2 linked regions of the Ovis aries genome follow. The protein of the gene in region 2 interacts with the protein of the main gene of each other region in a biochemical or structural test. Links are inferred from orthologs where the notes say so. Each region holds a gene or a part of one and is shown on either strand. Other genes may lie near its edges. The genes, in order: SETD7 and DNMT1.

Region 1 (4,429 bases), on a different chromosome or scaffold from region 2:
TTCCACCCTAACAGAGAGGCAACTAAAAGATACGACGATCAACACTCAAACTTCAGTCCTGAAGAGACCAGTTTCTTCCCCAGAGTAAATTTCCAAGGAGGAAGAAAAAGGATGTCGCTGGCAGAGGCTATAAGTTGAATTCTCTTTCCCCAAATATATTTTTTTCTGAAAGTCACTGAACTCTTTCAGAACCAGTCTCTAAAGAGTGACACTGATAAAGAAGGACACTGACACAACCTTTAACTGTTGCTTTCAAACTCAGCTACCAACTGTTTCCTATATGTGACTGGCTCATTAAGAAATAAAAAATAAGAAGGGTGGAGGAAGACTATCTGGAGAAGCGAATGGCAATCCACTCTGGTATTCTTGCCTGGAGAATTCCATGGACAGAGGAGCCTGGCAGGCTACAGTCCGTGGGGTTGCCAAGAGTCAGACATGACTGAGCAATTCACACACACACACAGGGAGACAATGTAGTATGGTGGAGCAGGGTTCTGGGGTCCCAGCCTGTCCCCTGCATGGCTGAGGGTCCTTGGATCAGTTCTTAACTCCTCTAAGCCTCAGTTTCCTCCTCTGTAAAATTAGGACAGTATGAGTACCCACATCATGAGACTGAACGCATAATGTGTGTGTGAAACACTTAGCACAGAGCCTGCACATGGTAAGAACTAAATAATTAGAGCAAGAATGATAGCTAAGACAATGAAATTACAGAGAACACATGCTCTATATATGGACAGAGGTAGGTTAGCTGGTTCTTCAACACCAAGATGCTCAGACTAGCCTTTTACCAGTCCCCTGTGCGTGCGTTAGATCTTGACACTATTACAGACAGCACTTTAAAAGGCCAGGAATGGCTGGAAAAAAGCCTACTTATACACATGCATGCTCTAGACACTGTGTGAGTCGGAGCCTTGTGCGCCTCTAAGGACTTAAAGACTCTGCGTTACTTTGTTTACTGTTGGTATTACTGAGTAACCATGTGTCCTGGATTGCTCCAGACATTCAAGGTTTAAGCCAGTTGTGCCAGCATAAGTATTAAATAGTGACCCTTCTCAAGTATATTCTGACTTTGGATATAATGTCTATTAACATACCCCCACATTCTATATAACAGAAACTTCCTTGCTTATATAAAGAAGTTTCTCTGCTTCCACCCATTGAGCAAACTCAAAAGCATCGATGTATTTCTAAAGTGGCTTGTTCACATTCTGCAAGGAGCCTGGGACTGTGGACAACTGAGTCTTAGGTTTCCAAACAGCTTCAAAGGGTAAGGTAGTTTAACCTTGGGAGCACTACCTGTGATCAAGGGTTTGCATTATTTTTACGAGTCTAAGTAAACTTTGAAGAATGAGAGCAAGTCCTAACAATATGAGAGTAGCATTTTTCAATTATCTTTCATAACATGAAGGCATAGGTAGTCAATAATTTAAAGAAGATTACCAATCAACGTCTTTGGGCCCCAGGAAGTTCCAGCATTGGCTTTACTTAGAGAGAAATAGTTCAGGGCATTGTGAATTTAAAACAAAACCAACACTCTCTGAAGCACGATAAAGAAAGAAGTTTCAACACTTACATGAAGACAACTTTTAGAGAATTCAAAAATATTATCCAACTTAGTCTCTCCCTAAGACCTTGGGAGCATTGCAAACGGAGTCAATTATGTTGATATAAAAATTGATTTTTTTTCCTCTCAAAGTAGCAGTAACTGCATTCTCATGAGTCTGTAAGCCTTGTCACTTTGTTTTTCTTTACCATTTCTAAGAACTTGTTTATACAAATTAGATAGAAAGCAGATTCAACCAAAAGCTAAAAAATGTTTACTTAGCTGTTTGGTTAAAATATTCTGGAATAATACCACGCAACACTGCAAAACATCACGACGTACCGTCCAGGGTAGAATCATAGAAATAAATAACGCTAACGTGTATTTTCCAGTATTCACTGTTACAAAATCATAACGTCTCAGGATACAAACAACTAGATTGTATAACGTCCCCACCTCGTTTTTTTAGAACTAGCCAAAAAAAAAAAAAAGAAAAAAGAGGTGGAGAAACTCAGCAAAACAAAGTGGCGAGAAAAGTCGGGGGAGGGGCGCTGGAAGCGAAGGGGCGGAGAAACACGACACAGAGGCGGTGATATCACCCACAGCCAACTGCATGGAATTCAGAAAGTTAAGTGTCACCCAGCAATTTGGGTCCGGGCTTGCGGGGCGCCTGCACAGTGTGGCGGCGGCGGCAGCCGCCGGGGAAGCAGGAAGGGGGAGGGGCGGTGTGGCCGAGTGCGCTCCGGGGCAGCGGAGGCCAGGTCGGCGTGCGTTCAAGCCCCGGGTCCGGAGCCTTGTCCCCGGCCCTGCAATGATTTCATCTTTTCGGAGGAGCGACCGCCCGAGCCGCGGCTGCCACGTGCCTGGTCCAGCCCTGTGCGCTGCGCCGGGGGACGGACCCGGACGCGACCGCGGTCACCGCGGATCGCAGCGGCAAGCCGAACGAAAGGGCTGGCGCCGGGAGAGGGGCTCAGGATTGCTCCGCCGAGATCGCCAGCGGCGGCGGGGGAGGGGGCCCGGGGGGGTCTGTCCTCCTGCGCACCTCCATCCCCCATCCCCGAAAAGGGGAAGGCCGGAGTGCCGGGCAGGTTTTGTAACTCCGAGGGCGGATGCAGGCGGTGGCCGGGCAGGATGGAGCAGCCGTGCCCCTCTCCCGACCCCCCGGGGACCCCGGCCCCGCTGAGCCCGGTTCCCGGCCTGCGCCCCGCCGCTCAGTGCGCGTCGCCGGTGGCGTGGCCGTGGCCGTCCGGCCCCTGCGCGAACCCGGCCACCCGCGTAGGGGACGGTGGCGGCCGCTGGGGGCCCGCAGCCGCGCCGGTCGCAGCCCGCCACTCCTTCCGCGTCCCGTGCCCCCTCCGGCGCCTCCTCCCGGGGCCCCGCAGAGATGCTTGTACCTTCCACCGCCTCCTCCACCATCTCATCGTCGCTATCCATGGCGGCTGGGGACCCTGCCCAGCTCGGGGCCGCGCGGCTGCCTCGCGTCCCTCCGGGTGCTCGCGGCGGCTGAGCGAGCGCTGGGGCTGAACCCTGCGAGTTTGGAGGAGGAGGAAGAGGAGGAGCAGTCGGGGCTGGCTCGCACTGCCTCCCCCTACAGCCCTTTCAATTCCTTGGCCTTAAGCTGCTCCGTCGGCAGCCGTCCCTCCTCCCCTTCGCCCACTGGCCCCCTTGCCTCCCAGGCTCCGGGGTGCCGCGGTGGCCGCCGCCGCCGCCGCTGCAACTTTCTCCTGTAATACCCCCTCTTTGTTATCGAGCAGCTGATCCGCTGACATCACCCAGCGCCGGTGCGCTCCCTCCCTCGCTGATTGACAGTTCCCTGTCCCTTCCCAGAAGTAAGGCTCCTTAAAACGAAAGGCGCTCCCGGTCCGCGCTGGCTCTGCGCCCCACCCCTCCAGTCCCCCGGCCCATTACGGGTTTAGCTTTTGCTTCTGCGAGGTTGGGTGCGCTCCGAGCGCTCTCCTCGCGGCGCTTGGGACCTCCGGGTAGCCACCCTTGGGGGTGGGGAGGGCTCAGAATGCTCGACCTCCAACTATGCCAGGGACCCCTTGGAAGTCCGCGTTCAGTGCTCGCCAGCCGTAGCAGCCCTCCCCTCCCCGCCCCGGCTCCTCCGGACAGCCTCCAAAGAGCCGGGCAAGCTCAGGCAGCGTTCCTGATACTCCAGCGCCTCAACTTCCTCTCGCCCTCGCCCCCACTTCATCCCGTTTGCCACCCGGAGCTGCACGAGTGCGGCACGCACGGGAGCGCAGGTGTCCCCGCGTTGCAGCATCACATCCGCGAGCAGGTTTCCCAGGCGCCAGGGGGTGACATCCAGCCCGGATGCCGCCGGACTGCGGCTCCCACCCTAGCGCGCTGCGTCCCCACCCTCCTCGGGACCATCAGGCGTCTCGTCTCGAGTGATTCAGAGCTTCAGCAAATCCAAATGGCAGCGGGCTCTTTATCAGGCAGGAAATAAGCCGCGCGGAAGGCCTGGCAGGTCCCTCCTCGCGGTGGTGGTAACGGAAAAGGAGCCACCGAGTGGAGCTCCCGAGGAAGGACCCTCCGTCTGGCGCGCCTCCCCCTGTCGCCTCCCGCCCAGTACGTGTGATGTCCCCAGCCGTCTCTTGGTTTCTCCAAGTGCCAGCCCTTCACAGATTCCTGCTCTTGAAGTGTAGAACATCACGGGGCCCCCGCTTCCCGGCCCCGCCACTTAGTGTCATTACGGCGTTGCCTCTTACAGGTGGCGGTAAAGGGCGGCTGTAAATAGCTGGTTAAATGGATGCAAATGTACACAATGTACCGTGGAATTACCGGGTGCCGCTCTGGGCATCTGCCAAGAACAGCTACTGCACGCAGCGGGCGAGGGCGGGGAGCGGAGAGGAGGGAGCAGAGAAAGTTGTTCTGTTTTGT
Region 2 (3,807 bases):
AAAAGAAACAAAAAAGTCACTAAGAATAAAAAAGTTCACAGCAAAGTACAGTTCTTCAGAATTACCAGGCTGCTGCAGAGACCAGCTTCTAAGGATTAAGACTCCTCCTCTTCTTATTCTCAGCAACCACCATCTTGATAAAACTCACCAAATTAGCACCTGCCAGTTTGCTGAACCATTTTAACACAACCTCTTATATGACAGGCCCAACCCTGACACAGACAAGGAAACGGAACCTCTACTTACATCATCAGAAGGTGAAGTGGTCAAGAGCCTGACCTGAGCTTAAGTCCCACGCTCTTATTCTTTTAAACATTTCAGAAGAGTTACTCTGACTACAAACGGGGAAGGAGTCTAAGAATAAATGTTTAGCTTAAACAGGCATATAACTTAGTTCTAAGTATCAGTAGATCCTGTTACTTTATACCTCAAATTCATCCACGTTTGGAGATCTAATGCTCTCAAACTTGGTCAAAGACAAAAATTTCTTTTCTACATCTAAGCTAGTTAGAAGTGTACACAAGGGGGAACTCCCTGGCAGTCCAGTGGTTAAGACTGGGCACTTTCACGGCCATGGGCCCAGGTATGATCCCTGGTCAGGGAACTAAGATCCCACAAGCCGAGTAGTGCGGCCAAAAATATATACATATATGGATACACAAGAAATCAGTGCTACCCAGGGGAGGGGGTGGGATGAACCTATGGCGCCAAGTCTAAGTGTCCTCCTCTTTGGTGATACCACACTCCAACAAGGTCAAACGAGTCGAATGCTCTTACACTTTGTTTCTCCATCAGACTTGCTTCTCCTGGGCGTGTAAAGTCTGGAGACAGGTTTGGGGGGCTTGCCTTTCTCTGCCATTACCACTCTGCAATCCTCACCACTTGTCTGGCTCCCGTTCTCTAGACATCCATTCGCTTCCCGACTGAAAGCATGAGCTCCGTTCTCCAAGGACAAATCTTTATTTAAAAGGGATTTGACTTTAGCCAGGTAGCCCTCCTACAGCAGGAAAGGATAATTTGAGTAGCAGTGAATGTAAACAAGTGGCAATGAGAGAATAATAAGAAACACAAGTGTTCCCTTTATATAACTAACAGGTGACATGGGGAGTTGGGCTTATTCGGCCTCCCTGTCACAGACCAGTTACCCGGGAGGCCAAGGCACTTGCCAGGACCCTGAAGACTTACCTCAGATAATTCCTCTTTATGTAGTTTGGTTTCCAAATCACATAACTGATTCTTTATTTCTGTCTGCAGAAATTCGTGCAAGAGATTCAGTTTCTCCTTCACACATTCCTAAGAGAAGGATACATGTTTAGAAGTCCCCACACTCCGAAACTATGAGTTTCTAACTAATGGACTAAGGCACAGTTACACTGCCTGGCCACATAACAAATGACTGAATGGCAGGCAATGCTGAGTCAAGGCATGTTCGTGATATTTCCATTAAGATCATATTACTTATTATTGTTTCTTAAGAGGGACTTCCCTAGTGGTCCAGTGGCTAAGACTCCACACTCCCAATGCAGGGGACCCAGGTTTGATCCCTGGCCAGGAAACTAGACTTCATGTGCCGCAACTAAGACCTGGTACAGTCAAATAATTTTTTTTTTTTTAAAAAAGATCATATCACACCATCTATAGGGTGGTGAAAAATGGGAAGATTAGGAAGTGAAACAGACACATAATGGTATAGTAGAACAAAACGGATTCTGAAAAAGCAGTGTGACCAGGGCAAGTTATAATCTAGACCGGATGATAGGCAGCCTAGATTGGGAAACTTGATGAGTGACCAAAAGCTAACTGATAACAGCCTATTAATATAGCACATTAGACAAAAACATCCAAGTTATCCTTAAGAGCTTAAGGAAGAGAGCGCCATTTCCACTTTGAGCCACACAGTCTATCAGATAGTCACATCTGATAACAGATTTTGTTAAGGTGGAGATGACCTTACCTTTTCTGTCAAACTATCTCTTTCCAAATCTTTGAGCCTGGGGGAAGGAAAAAAGGGAAGAAAGAAAATACCTGTTAAGCAACACTGTTCATCTATAATACCAAAGTTTAAAGAACTTTGGAAATAACTTCAACACGGATACTAGAAAATACAACAGTTTCCCCCCCACCCCCAAAGTGTAGAATGCCCCACTGCAGTGCCTACATACACATTAAGAGGTCATCTGCGATCTGAATGAGGTTCCCTTTCTGGGGGTGTTTTTCTGATAGTGGAAAGGGATAATACAGGCACTCTATAACAATGTTATTTTAAAGACACTGGCGGTCCAGTGGTTAAGAGCCTGCACTCCCAATGCAGGGGGCACAGGTCTGATCCCTGGTTGCGGAACGGAGATCCCGCATGTTGAACAGTGCAGTCAAAAATTAAGATTAAAAAAAAAAAAAAGACACTGGGAAAGAGGAAGCATAGTTGGGGTCCTTCCCAAGTTAAGTGACCAACAGGTGGTCTTCCTCCAGTTGGACCTGACCAAGAGTCCACAGAAGGGCATACAGGGGTTAGAGAGAGTGAACCAGGGCAATAGGAGGCTGCGGGAACAGTCAGCTGACACCCCCAAAGGCCAGGATGGGGAGAGTGGAGTGGCAGCACTCCTGAGCAGGAGATGGAGTCGGGGTCACCTGGGGCAGCACAGGGTGCCCCCCACACAAGGGAGAGAGAGGAAGTCAGAGAAGCTGGCTGGCGCCTCCCCCCAGAGCTCATCCTTGTGAATGTTTGAACCTAGCCATTTAGGTATGCAGAACTGTCATGAGTTTCGCTGGAAAAATCATGGTCTGACTTGATTACTGAAGATGAGTGTCTTGCCTCTTTTCAGGGGAAGGGAGCAAAGAGAATAAAAGAACAAGAAGCAAAAGACACAGAGGAAATGGAGAGGCTGTTGTTCCTGGCTTGGGCAGTGTTCCTGTGGGCAGCGGGGTAAGAACAGGTCCAACCAGCTAAGCCAGCGTCCGTCAGCAGAGGGGGGTTGCCCTGGGCAGGGAAGGACTGGGCCTCCACCATGCGTGGGTCCTCCCTTTGGGCACCCAGGCAAGGCGCTCGGTTACCACCAACCTAAAGGGCAGGAATAGAGCTCTCCCAGACGGACCTTCCCAGAGGGAGGGCAGATGTAAGCAGCACAGACAGGAATGTGAGTGACAGGCTCTGCTGGACTAGTGACAGACAGTGGCTACTCCGAGTGGGTGGGGATCCTGCTTCTAGCTGCAAACATCATCTGTGGGTGCCTCCTCTGCGCCAGACCCTGTTTCAGGCAACGAGCTGAGTGCTGAGATGTAGGCACTGCCAGGCAGGGGCCTCCTGGCTGGCGCTGCATGCTCAGCAGAGGTCTGGCTATAGAAGAGACTGAGCAGGGGCTTTCTGGTGGGCCAGCGGCAAAGACAATCACACTTCCACTGCAGGGGGCCTGGGTCTGATCCCAGGCCAAGGAACTGAGAACCCACACTGCCACGGAGCACAGCCAAAACAAAAAAGATAGCATATTAACCACTCTGTCGGTAGACTGCTGTGTATCACATGTGTTCTGTAATCTGGACCCAAGATTCAGAATCAGGCTTTTCAGAAGCATGTGGAGGCCCTTCCAGGCAAAAGTCATTCTACCCTCAAAGCAACTCAGGTCCTGGGAGAGCCTTAGTTGAGGACGATTGCAGAACAGGTTGCTCAGAGCCGGAGCGCCACAGCCACCCACCTTCAGTCACTGCGCTCACAAAACCCTGGCAGGACACAGCTCCCACCTCGACTGGGTCACCTCGGGCGTCAAGGACAACGCTCAGATGGAAGCCCACCAGTGGGCCCTTTGCCCGACG

Evidence for each region.
Region 1: of the proteins of DNMT1 (region 2) and SETD7, one has a biochemical effect on the other in vitro, tested with the Homo sapiens proteins (2 studies listed by BioGRID and IntAct, with this or other methods). The link is inferred for Ovis aries from reciprocal best matches to the Homo sapiens genes DNMT1 and SETD7.

What each region holds. Positions count from the first base shown.
Region 1 is NC_056070.1:18,223,758-18,228,186, reverse strand, and holds the start of SETD7 (histone-lysine N-methyltransferase SETD7), read right to left. Parts: upstream 3,084-4,429; 5' UTR 2,981-3,083; coding exon 2,941-2,980; intron 1-2,940. UniProt on the Homo sapiens protein: Histone methyltransferase that specifically monomethylates 'Lys-4' of histone H3. H3 'Lys-4' methylation represents a specific tag for epigenetic transcriptional activation.
Region 2 is NC_056058.1:12,575,560-12,579,366, forward strand, and holds part of DNMT1 (DNA (cytosine-5)-methyltransferase 1), read right to left. Parts: intron 1,992-3,807; coding exon 1,955-1,991; intron 1,294-1,954; coding exon 1,186-1,293; intron 998-1,185; coding exon 778-997; intron 1-777. UniProt on the Homo sapiens protein: Methylates CpG residues. Preferentially methylates hemimethylated DNA. Associates with DNA replication sites in S phase maintaining the methylation pattern in the newly synthesized strand, that is essential for epigenetic inheritance.